Linked DNA regions of Oryctolagus cuniculus. The protein of the gene in region 1 interacts with the protein of each later gene in a pairwise test. Links are inferred from orthologs where the notes say so. Each region holds a gene or a part of one and is shown in the gene's direction. Other genes may lie near its edges.

Region 1 (9,667 bases):
AGCAATAAAGAGATTAAAATGTAGATAATTGAAGTACATGCATATATAACAATGAAATTATCCTTAATTAAATTGTTTTTAATTACATAGTCCTAATCCAGCCCAACTTGGATTTTCTTTTTTGTATTTATCTTTCAACAGGACAATTTCCAATTTCTTATATTTTTAAATCACTACTTATATGCTTGAAAAATGTTCTGTGCATTAGTGGAACATTATATTGATTCTTAATTCTGCAATAATGGTTTTGTTTTCTGTTAGTGTATACATAATTTTTCCTCTTATTAGAATATATACATGTAGGGGCTGTCACACAATTTAGGTTTCTAAAGGACAGCTTTAATTAAGAGTACATAAACATTTCAGTGACCTGAGAAACGCCGTATATACAGTGACTGTTTGGCATTTTATCATTGCCCCTAAAATTCTGACATACATTTCCATAAAAATTGAGTCAAATTTTAAAGCCTCTACCAACTTATTTCCCTTCCCTCCACAGAGATAACCTATAAGTACTTTGGTCTCTATCCTTCAGACCTGTGCATCCTTGCTCTTGTGGGTTTGTCTATGTGGGAAGTAGGGAGAGAAGAGGAAGAGAATAGGCGGGACACATTTCTAAAATTGCCTGCATGATACTGCTGTATGTATTGTATGAAGATATTCCTTGGGATTTTTCCAGATCAGTGTGCATACCTATCTTATAATTGTTTTAATCATTAATCTAACTATGCATTATTTCGTTTGTATTTCTTAACTATTAACAAGATAGCAGGTTGCTCTGAAAATCAGTGTATTAATACTAATTTCCTCATCTAACTTTAATTATAGAAGGTAGATATTAAATTTGTGTGTGTTATTTTCATGTGCTTATTTTATATACAAAAATTGTAAAAGACTTGCATATTTTAAATACCTAGGGAGAATAAGGACTATTTGTTTGCCCTCAATTTTATTTTTCTCTTCCAAGTATTGTTTAAATTACACTTTTGGAAAATTACTTTGAAAGGAATATTTACATTTTATTTATAAATATTTATAAATATTAGTATATTATGAAAGATAGTTTGTCCTTTAAAATAGATAATTTGATTTTACATTTTGTTATAATATCTTGATTTCCCCTTTAGTAATTGCAAAGTTTTAAAAAGTGTCAGTGCACTTCTGGGAATACCCTACAGTTTCCAAGGGATAATTGAGAGAGATTGTACAGGAGATAAAGATGGTGGTTAGAGTCTCTTGAGGGGATGTAGTTAGTATTTTATGTTTTGTTAAGAGTTTATCCTATATGGCCTCGGTGACATTGAATACAACTAATCATCTCATATTTAATCTTGTTTTGGGATGAGGTAAGCTTCATTTGGTGTTTTATTTGTACAAATATATGGAAATATTTGGATGCTTTTAAAGAAGAAATAACTTGAATTTTCCTGACCTTCTGTATATTATAGGTTCTTGAATTGGAAGGATATGAGGTGGGAGGGAAACTCTAATTTTCTCCTTTGTCTCTTTTTGAGTGTAAGGGGTTGCAGGAATGTGTAAGGTTTCAGTAGATACTGTCTGCCTTATGTTTCATATGCTTAGGATTGGTACACTTAATAGTAATATTTTACATATATGATGAATGTTCATTAGTATTTATCTCTATTAATCTGCCATCTTTTTCCAAACTATAAGTATTGCTTATCAGTCTTCCTGGAGGCATTGTGAAAGTATCTGCCCTAGAGACCAATAAAAGGTTATCATTAGTAGTCCTTCCAAAAAATCCAAAAACAAGTAAAAGCCAATATAACATGTAAACAGAATATTCCACAGATTAACATGGACATAATAAAAGTTCATTTTCCCCCTTCTTCTCATTTAGAATATCGATGATTATTCTGTCCTTAGTAGATATACCACCAAATCTGTTCCTGTTCTTTGGTATTGAATAACATTACTTTCTTATGTTTAGTCTTTTGTTGAGTTACAATTAAACTCAAAGGGTTAATGCAATAGGAAATTCTCTTTAGTTTTTTTTTTTTTTTTTTAATTTATTTGACAGAGTTAGACAGTGAGAGACAGAAAGAAAGGTCTTTCTTCCATTGGTTCCCCCCAAATGGCCACTGTGGCCGGCGCTACGCTAATCTGAAGCCAGGATACAGGAGCTTCTTCCTGGTCTCCCATGTGGGTGCAGGGGCCCAAGCGCCTGGGCCATCCTCCACTGCCCTCCTGGGCCATAGCAGAGAGCTGGACTGGAAGAGGAGCAACTGGGACTAGAACCCAGCACCCATATGGGATGCTGGCGCTGCAGACAGAGGATCAGCCAAGTGAGCCACGGCTCTGGCCCCATAGGTTTTAAGAAGCTGAATTTTTTTTTCTTTCTGAAACACTTTATAGGACTTCATTAGATAAGAGACTTGGTTGCCATTTGGTAACAGAAATCAGAATAGAGAATGGCCAAATTAAGATTCCATTATTCAGTGATTGGAATAGGAAATTCCAACAGTGTGTAGAATGTAATTAAGATACTAAGGCTTAATTACTAACCAAGACTTAATGCAGACTTCATAGGTAGATTGTATCATCTCTCTGTTAGACTCCTTTGAATTCAGACATCAGCTACAAGCTCTGCAGTTCCCAGACTACCCCTACTTTTGACAACTGGCAATAGATTCTGCTGCCCCTTCAGATTTTCTAAGTTGTTAAAATGACTCACAGAAGTAAAATTTTTATTATAAAATGATTGAAAAGAACATACTCATGGGTTAAGACCTAGGAGGGTCCCAAATTCAAAGCTTCCCTGTTCCCAAGATGCACCAACGAGGAAGCCCAGCAGAACTTTTATATATTAATGATTTCATTGTATTTTCATTTTATAGTCAACATTGATTGAATCCTTGGTAATGTGATTGAGCTCAGTTTCCACTGACCATCCCCCAACTAAGATATCAGAATTATAACCACTACCCTCTTACCTTGGTGTTTTGTGGTAGGGCTGGGCACCATCCTGAGTCATCGGAGTAGCATAAACTCAGATGTGATCTGAAGAATTCACTTGGAATAAAAAGATAATCCCCCTTTGGGGTAAATTTCTAGAATTTAGAAGTTACCTCCCCTGAACTAGGGACCATGGCCTGCTAAACTCTTCATCCAACAGTGTGATGAAAATGTTGAAAAACTATGAAGTAGAAAATCTTTTACCACTGTCCACATTTCCAAATCCAACTGCTAATGAATATTTTTGTTTACTGATGAAGCTTCAGAAAGTTTGTTGAAAAATGGAATTAAAAGTTGTTGTGGGGAGCAGACTTTTGGCTCAGCAGATTAAGCAGCTGCTTAGACACATGCAGCATTCTGTATCAGAGTGCTGGTTTGAGTCTTGGCTTCTCTTTTTTTTTTTTTTTTTTCCTAGCCAGCTTCCTGCTAATATGCCTGGGAAGGTAGCAGAAGATGACCCAACAGTTTGGTTCTCTGCCACCCATGTGTGAGACTAGGATAGTGTTCCTGGCTCCTGTCTTCAACCTGGCCCAGACCTGGCTGTTGGTGCCATTTCGGGGATCGATCTGTATCTCTTTCCACCTTTCTCCATCTCTTGGTTGCTCTGCCTTTCAAATAAACAAACAAATCTTAGGGTGAATATTCCATGAAACTTTTGAAGCCTCCTCTTATCTCTTTTTTTCCTTTATCAACAAGGGCATAATTGTTGGTGATTTCTCCTCCTGTGTCCTAGGCATGTCTTGTTGCATAACAAACTAAATTTCTACATCTCTTCTGTTCAGGATCAGGTTACTGATCCACAGGGGTATGTTGAGGTCTTTTCTTTAAAATGCCCTGCTTATTCATAGATGTATGATTTACCTAGTTTTGGAGCTCTTCAACAAGCTGTACCCTTGAGGTGCTTTTTTTCGGGTGGTGATATTTTAGGAGTATCAGTATGGATGATTGCCTTGAAAATGCATTACCAAATTCTTCACCCAGCCTATGGGAGAAAAGATGGTTTCCACATAGGATGATTGTAAATTGAGTGGCCATGATGCTGATACTTTTTCTGCAGAACTAACAACTCTTGGTCTTTTGGGTCTTTGGAAATATTCCTAGACTGGGTAAGTATTCACTGTTTCCTCGCACATCCTTGTGTTCAGAGACTTTTGTTTTATTTTATAGTTTCCTAACAAAGTAATGGCATTCTCTGAGCATTAAAGCAGATTGTCATAAATAGAAGAGTCTGTGTATTCTTTGATATGATTAATATTAATAAATATTTTTGTCATTTATGTATACTATGCTCTTATCATAGGTGTCAGTTGTACCCAAGACGTTCTCAACAGCAGCAAGTACCTGTGGTGGATTTCCAGGCGGAACTAAGACAGGCATTCTTAGCCGAGACACCAAGAGGTGGTTAAAGCAGTATTGGAATATCAAGGTAGCTGACTTCTAAGCAAAAACCAGGTTAGAGCTGATGTAGTAATGATGAGAAAATAAATCATTGAAAAAAAGGGTGTTTGGTGTTCATTTAGTAATCTGGGCACTTGAAAAGACTTTTTTTTTTAAAAATAAATACTTCTTATAAAAAAGCAAATTACATAAAGATTTTAAAAGAGTAAAAGAAAATCCTTAATGTTCCTGCCATGACAATGTTTTTGTGTCCCAATCTTTGTGGTGTGTGCTTTTTGGATAGTTTTATTTATGTTCTATTTGATTTTCAACTTTACCTTATATATAAAAAAAAAAAACTGTTAGTTAATGCTTTATAATTCTCCTTTGTGAGTGATTTAATTATTTTGCAAGAGTTTGTAAAGTAACATTAGTTTTCATTGCCATAAAATAGTGTGCTATTTAAAATACACTTACCAGTCTTATTATAATTATAATATCATTTATACTTATTGAATATACCATCATTATCAAGATTATTAGAGAATCTAAATATTTCCTTGGTTATTCACTAACTACTTCTTTCATTGTTTTGTCTTTTTTCTCACTTTTCTGTTTTCACCAATGTATTTCTTACTGGAATCAGCAGACAATGCAATAAAGATTATCCATAAATTTTTAATGTGATGTAGATTTATTTACTGTTTATGTTGATTTATATTTTCTAGAAAGTTATTCACATTGATTCAGTACCTTGTTTTTACTTCATTTTTTTCTGTTTTAAAAATAGAATGCCCTTATTTCAGAGAATTTGCTATATACTGTTTAGAAAATAGAATCAGAAAGGGTATATGGGTGAATTCTCTACTAGATTTTTATTTCTGTTTTTGAAATGTTGCCCCTCAACTTGAATTAATTAGGACTGTTTATGGCTACTATATTGAATTTAAATCTGAGAAGACATATTTTCTGAGAACTCCTCCCTGTTGAATCCTCAATATCCAACATTCCAAGATGAACTTTGTTGCAAATAAGCTAGGGAATCTGAAAATTGCCCCTCAGGGCATTTTTCAATGAGTAGGCACACACACAGTTGATTTTCTTTGTGTCTAGACATTTTTTGGCTTCTCAGTTGAGTTAGAATACTCTTGAAAACTTCTAAGTATGTTATTTAAATTACGTATTAGCATCTGCCAGTAGAACCATTTCATTTTCTCATATTTAATCATATCCTATGTTATTCTGTGTCCAACTGCTAGTTTCACCTAAACAGTGATAGCTATTAGGCTTTCATTAGAGTAGGAGTTAGTATCTGTCCCACTACATATTTTTGTAGATTTTTATTGATCTATAGCTATGTCTATGTAAGGCTCATGGCTACATGACACTACAGTGTCAATTTTTTGACAGATCAGATGATAGGGATAGCATGAAATATTTAATATCTTGTTCTTTTATATAAAAACATCTACTGATCATTATTTTAGAGACACAGATTAATTGAAAACACCACGGTGGTGCCAAGGGGTATAGCAAAGTGCTGAAGAAAGGGATTATTGAAAGATTGTATATGAAGTATGTAGAATACTAGGTATTTCTGCAGTAAGAGAAGGGTCTGGAAATCATATGGATTTCACTTGAAGGGTACTTTAATAATTGATACCTTCCTATTTTAATTATAAACATCTGAACAATGTGATAGCCAGGAAAATTGGAAAGTAAATTTATGAATATTACAGATTGAGCATCCTTAATTCTCAAACTTGTAACTGAAAATAATACAAAATTTTTTGAGCACTGACACCCCTGGTGGAAAATTCCAAACACCATGACTCTTTTCATGCACGAAAGTACCATATAAAATGACTGTATGCTATGTGGGTAAGTTGTATATGAAACATTATTTTGCAGATGCCAATAATCACGTATAAAATAATCTGAAATGCAAGATATGTCTGATTCCAAGCATCTTGGAAAAGGGATATTGAACCTCTAGTTTTGTTTCTTGGTACAAAAGGATAAGTATCCAAGTGTGGGTATAATATTAGAGTGAATCTTTTTCTTTTTAAAAATATTTATGGTTTGAAATACAAAGATGAACGAATGGACAGAGATCTCATCCACTGATTCACTTCCTAAATAACTGAAACAGGCAGGGTGGGACAGGCCAAAACCAGCAGTCAGGAATTCAATCTGGGTCTCCCATGTAGGTTGCAGGTACCCAAATACTTGAGCCTCCACAAGATACAGTGTTTGCAGAATGCTGGAATATGGAGTGAAGCCAGGACACCAATGTAGGTACTATGATGTGGTATCCAGTTATCCTAATGGTATCTTAACTACTATGCCAGATGATTTCCCCTGGAATGATTTTTAAATGCATCACAGGAAGTCTTGATTGATGTGAACATTCCTAGACTAGAGGTAGGTATTTGGACATTTGTGTTCAGTATCAGAGTACCTGGATTTGATTCACAGCTCTGACTCCTGACTCCAGCTTAGTACTAAAACAGCTCTAGTAGAGAGTGGTGATGGCATGAGTTATTGGGTTCCTGCCACCCACAAAGGAGACCTGGATTCCAATTTATGAGAGCTCTCTGTGTCTTTCTGTCTCAAATAATTAATACAAACTTTAAAAGTGGTTAGTTTCTCTTTACAACTCTTAGTTTTTAAATAAACACTTCCAATGAAGGAAAGTATGTGGTATTTAGTTGGCCGTGCTCTGTGGAAGAATATTTTCAAATTAGTTGTATATTCTCCCATTCTTTATTGTTCAGGACATCTATTCACAGGCTTAAACTTCTCTTATTCATTATGTTATTTTGGGTCAGAGATTACACATGATTGAAGTAGTAGTTCAGTCTCCTTGTTTGAATAGTTGCCTGTGATTTTCTCATGAATTTTAGATAATGTGTTACCTCATGTACAAACATTGGATCTTGGGCACTGGAGTATTCTTGATGCCATTTCTGTAGATATAAGTAGGTACATAGATAGTATAATCTGTTATCAGTCGTCTTACAGAGCAGTATAGACAGTATATTGAGGGAATAAGCAGATTGTTTACCATAAACTTTAAAAAGAATGCATGAAAGCTTGTATGTGGAAAATGTAGGTTGTTGGGTATACTGAAAAATTGTTAGGGATTTCTTGGATCTTAAGATCTAAGAACTCTCAAGATCTCATGGAATGTCTTACTGCAATTAAGCTTCTAGAACTATAGGAAACATCCCTTAAACATCTTAGAACTTTATGGAAAGAGTTATCACGTATTTTTATGTTCTTTTATATGTTGGCATAAAATTCCATATGTGCTCAAAACTTATTTTACTTTATTGTTTTGGTGTTCATGTAGTTTATAGTCATGATTTTAATGATTATTTTCAAACCATGAAGTACTCAGAATATACCTAACATTTAATGTGCTGTTTCAAAATTTTATCTATTGGAAACAGTGAAGAACAATCCTAGTGGAATTTAGCTTTTAATATGATTCTATTTTTATATTTAACTCCAAATTCCTACTCAAAAATAATATAATTTGTGTCTCTTTGTACCATCAGCAGTTTCAGCCACTGAATAAGATGCTGGCTAAATTTGATTGCCATATTGATAGCATTTTTTTTTTTTACAAAAAGTAATGGTGAAAATGTTAATTTGTTATGCATGACGCTTTGATAAACAAGAAAGCTGTCAATGAGCTTCTGTTAAGTAGTTATGTATCAGCCTTTGACATAGAAAGTCTTAAGCACGTTCATAATACATTTGGTTCTAGGTGAGGGAAGACTACATTTGAAGGTGCTCTTTGGGAAGGAAAGAATATTACAGCTGAATATTTAGGTTGTTCAAACAAAAAGTATCAACAACAAAATCTTTTTTTTTAATTTATTTATTTGACAGGTAGATTTATAGACAGAAACAGAGAGCAAGGTCTTCCTTCCGTTAGTTGACTCCCCAAATGGCCACCATAACCGGCGCTGTATGGGTCTGAAGCCAGCAGACAGGTGCCTCCTCCTGGTCTCCCATGGGGGTGCAGAGGCCCAAACACTTGGGCCATCCTCCACTGCCTTCCTGGGCCACAGCAGAGAGCTGGACTGGAAGAGGAGCAACCGGGACTAGAACCCGGCGCCCATATGGGATGCTGGCGCGGCGCCTCAGGCAGAGGATTAACCAAGTGAGCCAGGGTGCTGGCCCCACAACAAAATCTTGAACTAACTCAGGAATAATTTGTGTTATAAATACGTGAGATACTTAATTAATTTTAGGTGTGGGAGTAAAGCAATAACCTTAAAGGTAGAAAGGAAGAATAGTAAAATTTTGAGATGTTTAAATGAAAGTTACTGGTAAAATATAATTTAGTGAGTTTCATCAGTGCTAGCTATGTCGAATGTGGGAATTAAAGATGAAGGAGTAGTGAATGAGTCATGGGATAAAGGATTTTTTGAATGTGTTTTGCAGTGATATCTGTGCAAAATTGTCTGCCTATTTTAAAACATGGTAGATTGTAGTGCAGCTGTAACATGCTTTCCTCTGCAGGCTCCATCTACTGTTTGTGAAGCTTCTGCCCAGCTTGCATTGTTTCTAGGAGAACCTGCCATCATACCTTTATCTATAGCCTTCCCTTAGGTCTTAAGGGTCCTGAAATTTTACTTTGGACATTGAATTTGGTGGAACAGCAATCATGGTAAGATGTTTATGTATTAAGATGGGGGGGTGGTAAGTTGTTATAAGGGCATCAAATAGTAGTTTGCAGTTGTGTGTGGGTGCCTTTGGGTTCTGAAAATTTGAATAAATATGTAGACATGTATTCTAAATGCATTGAAAAAAAACAGGGATTAGCAATGTTTCTTTTCTTGTTAATTACTGCAAATTGGTTTCAAAACCATCTTGAGGTGTTTTAGAACATGAGAAAATTCAGAAGCAGTTTTTTGGTCATTGTTATTAGGGGACTATCTTGACTCTTAGGTCAGATTATAGTAGACATAAAGACTACTTTATGTGGAAAGCTTTTTCAAAACTTGAAGGGCTTGATTAGTACACAGGAGAACAATTGGCAAAGGGAGGGAGCAAGTGAGCATAAACCAGCCAGCATCCTAACCACAGAGTTCTGTGGTTCTCAGTCTAGAGCATGTATTATCAAATGATTGATACCATTCCCAAAGGGGTTAAAATTGCTAGGATTTGTTAACAGTCATAAGCTTCTTAATGCTTGGTCATCCAGTGTCACATTGCAAAAATAGAGATACAACATGTCTGCATGTTATGGTACCTTAGGAACTTGACAAGTTTTAATTGAAGTAGGAATTTGTCCAGG
Region 2 (9,663 bases), on another chromosome or scaffold:
AAATTCCTGTTGAAACTGAATCCCCATTGTAGCCTTAGTATCAGCCAGGGGCCTTCTGGGAACTGCTTAAACAAGAATTCTGCCCTCAAGGATGGATTACTTTATAAAAGGGCCAGAAAAGAACAAGCTTCAGCAACCCCCACTCCCCCCCGCCCCCGCCTTCTACTCTCCCATCCTACCAGAACAAAATGTTCTTTCTTCTGTCCCTTCTACCACGTGAGGACGCCTAGGGGACACCATCTTTGAAGGGCCATTACCAGATATCACACTGGCCACAGCCTTGATCTTGGGACTTTCCAGTCTCCCAAACCGAGAAAGTCAGTTTCTGTAGTTTAAAGATCACCCGGTCACAGACTAAAACAACAGGGAATTTGCTAATCCCAGGCCCTGGGGTCTGAGGCTTCGTAGTAAATATGGAAAGAAATGCAAGAGGGTGCCCATGCTGTGGCGCAGAGAGTTAAAGGCCTGGCCTGCAGTGCCAGCATCCCATATGGGCGCCAGTTCGAGTCCCGGCTGCTCCACTTCCAATCCAGCTCCCTGCTAATGCACCTGGGAGAACAGTGAAGGAGGGCCCAGGTCCTTGGCTCCTGCTCCCATGCGGGTGACCCAGAAGAAACTCCTGGCTCTTGACTTTGGCCTGGCATAGCCCCGAATGTTGCAGGCATTTGGGAAGTGAAATAGCAGATTCATCTCTCTCTCTGTAACTCTACCTTTCAAATAAAATACATCTTAAAAAAAAAAAAAAAAAAAGAGGTGTAAAAACAAAAAAGGAAATGAAGCAGTCACGGTGCATTAGGCTCTGGGGACACACAGGGGACCCAAGGACCCCAGCCCTGACCTCCAGGGTCTCCTATTCTAAACCAGTTCCCTGGAGTGGGCTGGGGGTGGGGCAAGAGTTCTCTGCGGGGTGAAGAATCCCTCCACTGTGCCTATCAACTGCCTTTTTGTTTTTTTTCCCTGCACAGGCTGGTAACTCCCCAGGCTCTGCTCTTACATAACCCTTGGTCTGCAGTGTTGTCTCCCATCACAGGCCGCCCGGAAGTTCCGGGCCTCTCCCTCCCGGGGAAGGGGGGGCCCGCAACGTGGAGTCCTCCAGGGGGCATCTGATTGCCCCACTAGATGGAAGGAAGACTTCCTTGGCGGTGGGCGGGGACATTCGCCTCCACTTGGCCCTCAGCCCATAGCAGGCATGCAGACACGCTTGGTGAATGGAAGAGGCTTTCTCCAGAAACACTTTATCTCTTAACATGCCCACGCCAGTCTGTCACTACAGTGCACTCCCCTGGCCCCTCCGTCCTCCCCCACCCGCCCCAGTTTCCAGACTATTCCTCCACCCCAGGCTCTCTCTCTCCAGCCTGGAGCCTGAGTTCTGGCACTGACTGGCTGGGCCACCTCCTGCCAGGCTATGACCCTGCCTGTGGCCTCTGGCTTCCCCTACCCCCAGCTGGAAAATGTGGTACAGGAGAACTGCTCTCTGAGGACACTCAACTCCTCTCCTGTTCTTGTCCTCAGCCCTAGAATCCCTTGATCTGAGGCCAGCGCTGTGGCGTAGCGGGTAAACCCGCTTCCTGCAGTGCCAACATCGCATATGGTCGCCAGTTCGAGTCCCGGCTGCTCCTCTTCCAGTCCAGCTCTCTGCTGTGGCCTGGGAAAGCAGTGGAAGATGGTCCAAGTCCTTGGGCCCCTGCACCCACGTGGGAGACCCAGAAGAAGCTCCTGGCTCCTGGCTTGGTTTCAGCACAGCTCCAGCCGTTGCTGCCATTTGGGGAGTGAACTAGCAGATGGAAGACCTCTCTCTCTGCCTCTGCCTCTCTGTAACTCTGCCTTTTGAATAAAATAAATCTTAAAAAACAAAACATGAATCCGTTGATCCTAGGGTTCCCACAGGGCTAAACACCCCCCACGTGGCCATCCTCAGTCTTGGCACAGGCTGATCCGCCCACAGGGACCCGGATGCTTCTGCAGAGGGTGATAAGGGTAGGCGAGGCCTCTCGGCATTTGTCCTGATAACAGCTTAAGCTTTAGAGACAGCGCCAGATGTTGACATTCGTCCGGAGGCAAGCGTCTGCCTGGGAGGCCCCCGGCCTGGCTTCGGTCAGTGGCTGTTGCCCAACAGCCAAGGAAGGAAGGCAGTCCACTGACTGTGGATACGGGTCTGCAAAACAGCAACCGGCACCAGTGACCAGCTTCACTGGGCTGTTACGAGGACTGCGAGGGCACTGCAGGTAAACATTTGAACACAACGCCTGCTTCCTGGACTGCTCCCTCCCAACATAAGCCCTGACTCCTCGGGGGCTCAGGAGCCGCACCACTCTTGCCCAAGACCAGAAAGAACTGGAAGGGTAGGACTCTAAATCCCCAGGTGACATCAGGCCCAATGTCACGCTGCCGCCACCAAAGAGATCACTCCTGGCAGTCGCGGTCCCCCCTATTGCTCCACCTCTCTCCCACGAGTGCGCCCCTCGGAACCTGCCGGGGCACTGTCCCTTTCTCATCAACTCTGAGCTGCAGGAAGCCGACTTCCAACCTCCCCTACTTCTTGGACAAGCAAACTGAGGCCCAGGGCACTGAGCGGTATTCTCAGGCTCCAGCCCAGAGGGGCTCAGGTTACCTTGGGGCAGAAGGAACCAGAGAATGGTAACCGTAGCAAGCAAACAAGACTAGCTACGTCCTGCAAGCTAAGGGAAGGGCCCACCCAGGTCCCTGCCCACCCAGGTTCAGTTCCCCCAAGAGAGCGGACTCTCCCAAGGCGGCTACAGGAGGACTTTTGCGTAGTTGGCACCCTCTCCACCCGGGGCCCTCCCACGTGACCGCCAGCACAGCTGACTGGGGTCCCTGCCCTGTTAGTATCAGGAAACCCCAGCTGACCAGAGGCTGGGGGAAGGGAGAAGAGCCCGAGGCAAGGGTGTCCACCTGGCCATGATTTCGCTACAGCTCCACAGCCTGGGCAGAGACGGCCAGGGACGCGCGCGGATGGACCCTGCTCCGCGCTAGGGCGGGGTCCCCCTCATTCCCCGGGGCTGAGGGCTGGGCCCTCAGAGAGAGGCACTGACCCGGCTCGAGCGGCGGCCCCGCTGCCTCCGCCTCCGTCCTCATGACCCGCGCAGCACGGGGCGCCCATGGCCCCGGCCCGCTGCGGGCTGCAGCTTCGGCTTCAGCTGGCGCAGGAGCGCAGCCAATGCGTGTCGAACGCCGTAGCCGCCGCCGCCACCGCCACAGCGGGGAGAAGCGGAGGCGGCGGCCGGGCAGCCCCAAGCCCCGCCCCAGCCACTCCAGGTCTTGGATCCGGAGGCCCCGCCCCTCCCCTAATCCCCGCCCCTTCCCAGTCCCAGACTTCGATTCCTAGAGGCTTCCAGCCTCATGATTTAAGCCCGGCCTGGCCATTCACAGTCTCGGTTTCTGGTAGCTCCGCCCCCTTACCGAATCCTCGCGCAGACGCGCGGGCCCTTCCTTCGCTCGGTCCCCCGGAAGCTCCGCCCCTTCTGAGCCCCTCCCCGAGGGCTCGGCGCAGCGCAAACACTGGCTCCCCAGGGGCTCTTTCCCTCAGCAAGCCCCGCCTCTGCCAGGCCCCACCCCTTTGCCGGCTTCAGCTGTAAGCCGGCTCCGGCCCTGTGATTGCCTAGGGTCCAGGCAACCGTACTCTGATCTCTTTAGTGCTGAGCCGGCCCCTGCTCCACTTGGTACCTCAGTTTCTCTGTCCAGACACGACACCTCCCCTCTCTGAGAGTTCCCGTTACCTGGCAGTGCCGGGTTCCAAAGATTAAATTGTGAGGGGAGGTCCCAGCCCTCATTCCCACTTCCTGCTGCCCCGGATCCGAGGACCCAGGCTGTAGATCCCCTCCTTGTCGTCCAGCCAGTCTTTTGTGAGGGGTGCTTGGAAGCGCAAGCCCCCCTCTCCCGTTTCGGGCCCCCGCGTCGGGGCTTCCGGCGGCCCCCGGGCCCTGTCATCAGCCCTCTCTTCCGGCGCCGGAACTATCGTACCTGGGTCCGCGTTTCCCAGCCGGCGGAGTAAGGAGGAAGCGGAGACGAGCTCGCGCTCTGGGACGGTCCCCGCGCGCGGCATTCTGGGAGCGCGTGGTATTCTGGGAGTGCAAGGCCCGCCATTCGCCCCGCTCACGCCTTCTCTCTCGCAGTTGTTGTCGCAGCACCGAAGAGGAGGAAGAAGGGGCTCGAGCCGGTGAGTAGGGGCCGGGGACGGGAAAGGGGAGGCCTAGGCGCTCGTGAGGGATCGGGGGCTGGGGCAGGACGCGCTGCAAGGAACCGCGCAGGGCTCCGGGAGGGAAGGAAGCGGGAAGCCGGGACACCCAGACACCCGCGTCGCCTCGCCTGAGCCTGGGGAGTGAGTTCGTTACCTCCCCCTCGTTTCTGGCTGCTTAGCCTCGTCCCTGAACTCCATCGGCGTCATCCTTGGCCTCCAGCCCCCTTTTCCGGCGCTGATGCAGCCCCTCGTGCTTTCCACGCCATTGCAAAAGCGTTTTCCGAAGTTCCTCTGCTTCTGAACTGTGTGTTCGATTTGGCCTGTAAACGCTGATACCTTTCCATTGGGTCGTTCCTTCCTTGAGATCCCGCGCTGGTTCCGTGCTCTCTGAAACGTAACATTCCAGCTCTGGCGGCGGAGGGCTGGGGATCCTCACGGAGCGAGCCTGGCTGCCCTGTCGTGTTCTCCCTTATTTCGTGCCAGCCTTGCGTCCTTACCTGGCTCAATAAAAACTCCACTGCTTGTCTCTCAACTACGTCGGCAGATCCTTGTGTTTTTCCTCCAAGATAAGCAGTTTCCTACACGTTGTCCCTTTGTGACCGCTTTGCTGTTTTCTCTTTAGCTTTAACAGTAAAGCGAATGGAAAGTCAGAGGCTGAAATAAAAACACAGCCTCCTCTCCTGGATATGTCTGGGTCCTCTGGTTGGTTGGTTTGTTTGTAAGATTCATTTATCTGAAAGGCAGAGTTACACAGTCGGGGTCGGGGGCAGGCAGAGAGAGAGATCTTCCATCCCCTGGTTCACTCCCTCAAATGACTGCAACGGCTGGAGCTGGGGGCCAGGCCAGAGTCAGGATCTTCTCCCCGGTCTCCCACAGGTTCAGGGGCCCAAGCATTTGGCCCATCCTCTCCTGCTTTCCCAGGCTATCAGCAGAGATCTGGAGTGGCAGTAGACAGCCGGGACTTGAACCAGTGCCCCTGTGGGATGCCGGTGTACCCGCTGCACCCCATCGTGGTTTTCAGGATGCAGTCACCCACAGCTGTGGATAGGCAGATGTGTTGCTCAGCATGGACGTTCCGAGCGCCTCTCTCCCAACACACAGACCACATTGGTCACTGGTTATCTTGGCCAAGGAAAAGGGACATGAGGGGCCAGTGTTGTGGGGCAGCTGGTTAAGCTGCCACCTGTGACGCTGGCACCCACGTGAGAGTGCCAGGCTGATTCTCAGCTGCTCCATTTCCTATCCAACTCCCTGCCAGTGCTCCTGGGAGGCAGCAGATAATGGCCTGAGGTTTGAGCCCCTTGCCACCCACATAGGGAGACCCAGATGCAGTTCCAGGCTTTGCAGCCATTTGGGGAGTGGCCCAGCGGATGGAAGATCTCTCTCTCTCTCTCTCTGTATCTGTATCTGTGTCCCTTACTCTGTCTCTAGGTAAAGGGACATGGGAGCAGGTGAGGAGTAGGGAGGTAGGTGGGAGATTCTTTTCCTTTCCGTGAGCTTTCCTTCTGTCCAGCACGCTGTCTCTCCCCTCTTCATATTGTGTGTATTTGCCAGGAAGGCTCCTCCAAGCCAGGAGCTGAGCTGCTCTTGTGTAGAAAATGCAGCTTTGGCACCGGTGTTAGGTTTTATGGGGTCCAGGCCTTGGGGAGACATGGTGCGCACCACACGCGGCCTCTGGCTCTGAAGGCTGGGCTCACTGCTGTGTCTCCCACCACAGCACTCTCCTCCTGCCGAGATGTCCATCGGTGTGCCGATCAAAGTCCTGCACGAGGCCGAGGGCCACATCGTGACCTGCGAGACCAACACCGGCGAGGTGTATCGGGGCAAGCTCATCGAGGCAGAAGACAACATGAACTGCCAGGTACGGGAGGCTGGCGGCGTCTCCATTGTGCCCGACGTGTGGCAGGCGCTGCCGCGGGCTCCGGGACTGTGGGCCTGAGCAAGAGACAGTACTGGGGCAAAGAACCGTATGGAGATTTGGAATAGTTAACTTTGGCCTTTGCCTTCTCCATCCCATAATTGTCCCCTCCCAACTCCCCATTTTAAAGATTTATTATTTATTTGAAAGGCAGAGAAAGAGAGGGAGAGATCTTCCATCTACTGGTTCACTCCCCCAAATGGCCACAGTGGTTGGATCTGGGCTGATCTGAAACTGGGAGCCGGGAGCTTCTCCCAGGACTCCCACGTACAGGGACCCAAGCACTTGGGCCATCTTCTACTGCTTTCCCAGGTGCATTAGCAGGCTCAGAAGTGAAGTAGCTGGGACTTGAACCGGTGCCCGTATGGGATTCCAGTGTTGCAGGCAGTGGCTTCCCCTGCTACACCACAGTGCCAGCCTCTCCCATGTTTTGGGGCCTGTTTGAGAGAAATGGTGTTACCACCTTCAGCAGAATTCTTCAGGTTCAGGGCCATTACCCTCCCACCCCCACCACCCCACACAGTGAGCAGAAACCTGTGTGCTCTTTTTCTTAGAAGAGGGGTCATGTTTGATTACTGCAGCTGCCTAGTGAGGTAAATGAGTTTGGTGATAGTCTCGGCATCCAGGAAAGAGGGAGAATGTGGTTAAAGGACTCATCTACTGAATATTGCTCTGCTAATAAATGATAGAGCAACTTTCTAACGTGGTGTCTTTCTCAAAGCACTGCTTTTTACATAGTCAGGTAAATTTAAAACAAAAAGATTTATTTGAAAGGCAGAGTTACAGCGAAAGAGTGGGAGAGATAGCTTCCATCTGCTGGTTCACTTCCCAAATGGCCGCAATGGCCGGAGCTGAGCCAAGCCAAAGCCAAGAGCTTCTTCTGGGTCTCCCACATGGATGCAGGGGCCTGAGCACTTGGGCCATCTTCTACTGCTTTCCCAGGCCATAGCAGAGAGCTGGATCAGAAGTGGAGCAGCCGGGACTCAAACCGGCGCCCACATGGGATGCTGGCACTGCAGGTGGCGGCTTTACCTGCTATGCTGCAGCACCATCAAGTATTTTTTATAGCATTATTTTCCAGAGTGTCAGCACATGTTCTTTTTTTGTTTAAAATTTTATTTATTTATTTGAATGGCAGAGGGAGAGAGATCTTGCATCTGTTGGTTTATTCCCCATATATTCAAAGTAGCTGGAGCTGAGCCAGGCCAAGGCAGGAGCCTAGAACTCTACCCAGTTCTCCCACGTGGGTGGCAGAGGCCCAAGCACTTCCAAGGTCTCCCACTACCTTCAGAGGCGTGTTAGCAGGGAACGGATCAGAAGCATGACAACCACAACTTGAACCAGCCTTCTTTTTTTTTTTTTTTTTTTTTTTTAATTTGACAGGTAGAGTTATAGACAGTGAGAGAGAGAGACAGAAAGGTCTTCTATTGGTTCACCCCCTAAATGGCCGCTACGGCCAGCACTGCACGGATCCAAAGCCAGAAGCCAGGTGCTTCCTCCTGGTCTCCCATGCTGGGTGCAGGTGCCCAAGCACTTGGGCCATCCTCCACTGCCCTCTGGGCCATGGCAGAGAGCTGGACTGGATGAGGAGCAATTGGGACTAGAACTCGGCGCCCATATGGGATGCCAGCACTGCAGGTGGAGGATTAACCAAGTGAGCCACGGCACTGGCCCCTGAACCAGCCTTCTGATACGAGATGCTGACATCGCAATCCGCTGCTTAACCCACTGCACCACAATGCCCTTTATTCTTTAAACCGTTGGTTAGGAGCCCAAGCTCTGGGAGCAGGAATTTTGCCTGATGGTTAAGATGCCAGTTGGGATTTCAGTATCTCGTGTCTAAACACCTGTATTTGAGCGCCGCTTCCACTCCTGGTTCCTTCTAACTGTGCACCCTGGTGGGCAAGAAACTGAGTCCATAGCACCCACCTGAGAGACCTGGATTGAGTTCTTGGTTCCAGGTTTTGCCCTGGGCCAACCTTTTGCGGGCATTTTTGGAGAGTGAACCAGTGGATGGGAGCTCTCTCTCTTTCTCAAGTAAATATGTTTTGTTTTGTTTTGTTTTTTAAGGAACTTGGGTTTTGGAATCAGAAATTGGAGAGACATGACTCTGAACCCTGGCTATATGACCTCAGGTTTAGTAGCCACATACCTTCCTCATCAGTGAAATGGGGGTGCTGCTATTTTGGGTGCCCTGAGACATAGCTGCTAGGACAACTGGATGTGTGAGATAGTGGAAAATGACAGGGAGAATGAGAAGAGGGAGCAGAACTGTCAGACCCGGAAGCTGGTTTGCCCGCGTAAAGGAAGGAGGATTGAGCGGGGAGAGCCTCAGACCCAGCACGGCCCTGAGGAAGCCTCAGCAAGGCAGAGGCTGCTCCTCAGGGGGGTCTGGCCTGGGGCAGGAATGGCCTGGGCTCTCGTGCCTGTGCTGTGGGCCAGCATTGGCTGGCTCCCCAGGGAGGTGGGGCCCTCAGCGTGCTGTGGTGGATTCCAGAGGCGTCAGCTTGCTCTCTGTTGAGAGGTCTGAGCACGCCCAACACCACCTCAGGAATAGCACCCACACCCCAGGGCAGTGTCAGAGTTCAGCTGAGTCCTGTCTGCAGTAAGCTAGCTCGGGGCCCCCCATGTTGTGAGTGTCCAAGGTACCATGCTCCAGGGAGTTGAAGTGCATTACCCAAGGTCAGATGTCTTGACTGGCCATTGCTGTGCAGGGTTTGCTTGTGATTTCTCTTTAGCTTTGTGCAGCTCCCATCTTTCTGTCAGGTTGACCAGCTCACAGTTTCCTGGTGCAGAGGGAGGCAGAGATCTGGTGACTTAGGTTTATCTCCTCACCGTTGGTGCCGTAGACGTGGGTGGGTGGGCTCTGACAGGCACAGCTGGCGTTGCTCTAAAGAGCCTGGCCTATGGCACGCTCTGCCCGTGTGAGGTGCTGCTGTCGTCGATCCAGTCCTTTGACTTAGGCATCCTCGTCAGCTTTAAGCTACTTGAATTTAGTGAGTAGAATGCAGGGGTTAATGGTAGTGAGTAATTCTTTTATTTTATTTATTTTCTTTTTTTTTTTTTTTTAAGATTTATTTATTTGAAGGAGGCAGTGACAGCATTTCCACCCACTGGTTCACTCTCCAAATGGCTGTATCGGCCGAGGCTAGGCTAGGTCCAAGCCAGGAGCCTGGAGCTCCATCCTGGTCTCCCATGTGGGTGGCAGGGGCCCAGGTCCTTTTCCATCATGCTCAGCTTTCCCAGTGCATTAGTGAGGAGCTGGATGGGAAGTGGAGCAGCTGGGACTCCAGCCGGCACTCTGCGGGGGGCTGCCGGCATGGTAGCTGGCAGCTTAGCTTGCTGTGCCACAGTACCAGCCCCAGTGAGAGATCCTTAGTGTATAAGTTCAACAGAACGATTTATTCGGACAATTTGCTGAGCTTCCAGGGCTCCAGGCATCCTGCCTGTAACATGAAGGTGTTTGACCGAGAGACCTTAGTGGTCTCTCAAAGGGACAGCCAACATGACACCAAGCGCATAGTAGACCTTGGCGGTGTGACTGAGC

The links. The genes of interacting proteins can lie anywhere in the genome.
Region 2: the proteins of SNRPN (region 1) and SNRPD3 interact in a two-hybrid assay, tested with the Homo sapiens proteins (2 studies listed by BioGRID, with this or other methods). The link is inferred for Oryctolagus cuniculus from reciprocal best matches to the Homo sapiens genes SNRPN and SNRPD3.

Annotation. Positions count from the first base shown.
Region 1 is NC_091443.1:13,807,813-13,817,479, forward strand, and holds the start of SNRPN (small nuclear ribonucleoprotein-associated protein N), read left to right. Parts: upstream 1-4,382; 5' UTR 4,383-4,402; exon of another isoform or gene 4,403-4,428; intron 4,429-4,999; exon of another isoform or gene 5,000-5,035; intron 5,036-6,575; exon of another isoform or gene 6,576-6,647; intron 6,648-8,889; 5' UTR 8,890-9,034; coding exon 9,035-9,037; intron 9,038-9,667. Other genes in the region: SNURF (SNRPN upstream reading frame protein), read left to right, coding at 4,277-4,382.
Region 2 is NC_091452.1:31,109,555-31,119,217, reverse strand, and holds the start of SNRPD3 (small nuclear ribonucleoprotein Sm D3), read left to right. Parts: upstream 1-4,063; 5' UTR 4,064-4,177; intron 4,178-5,915; 5' UTR 5,916-5,933; coding exon 5,934-6,059; intron 6,060-9,663. Other genes in the region: protein GUCD1, read right to left, coding at 3,738-3,948. UniProt on the Homo sapiens protein: Plays a role in pre-mRNA splicing as a core component of the spliceosomal U1, U2, U4 and U5 small nuclear ribonucleoproteins (snRNPs), the building blocks of the spliceosome.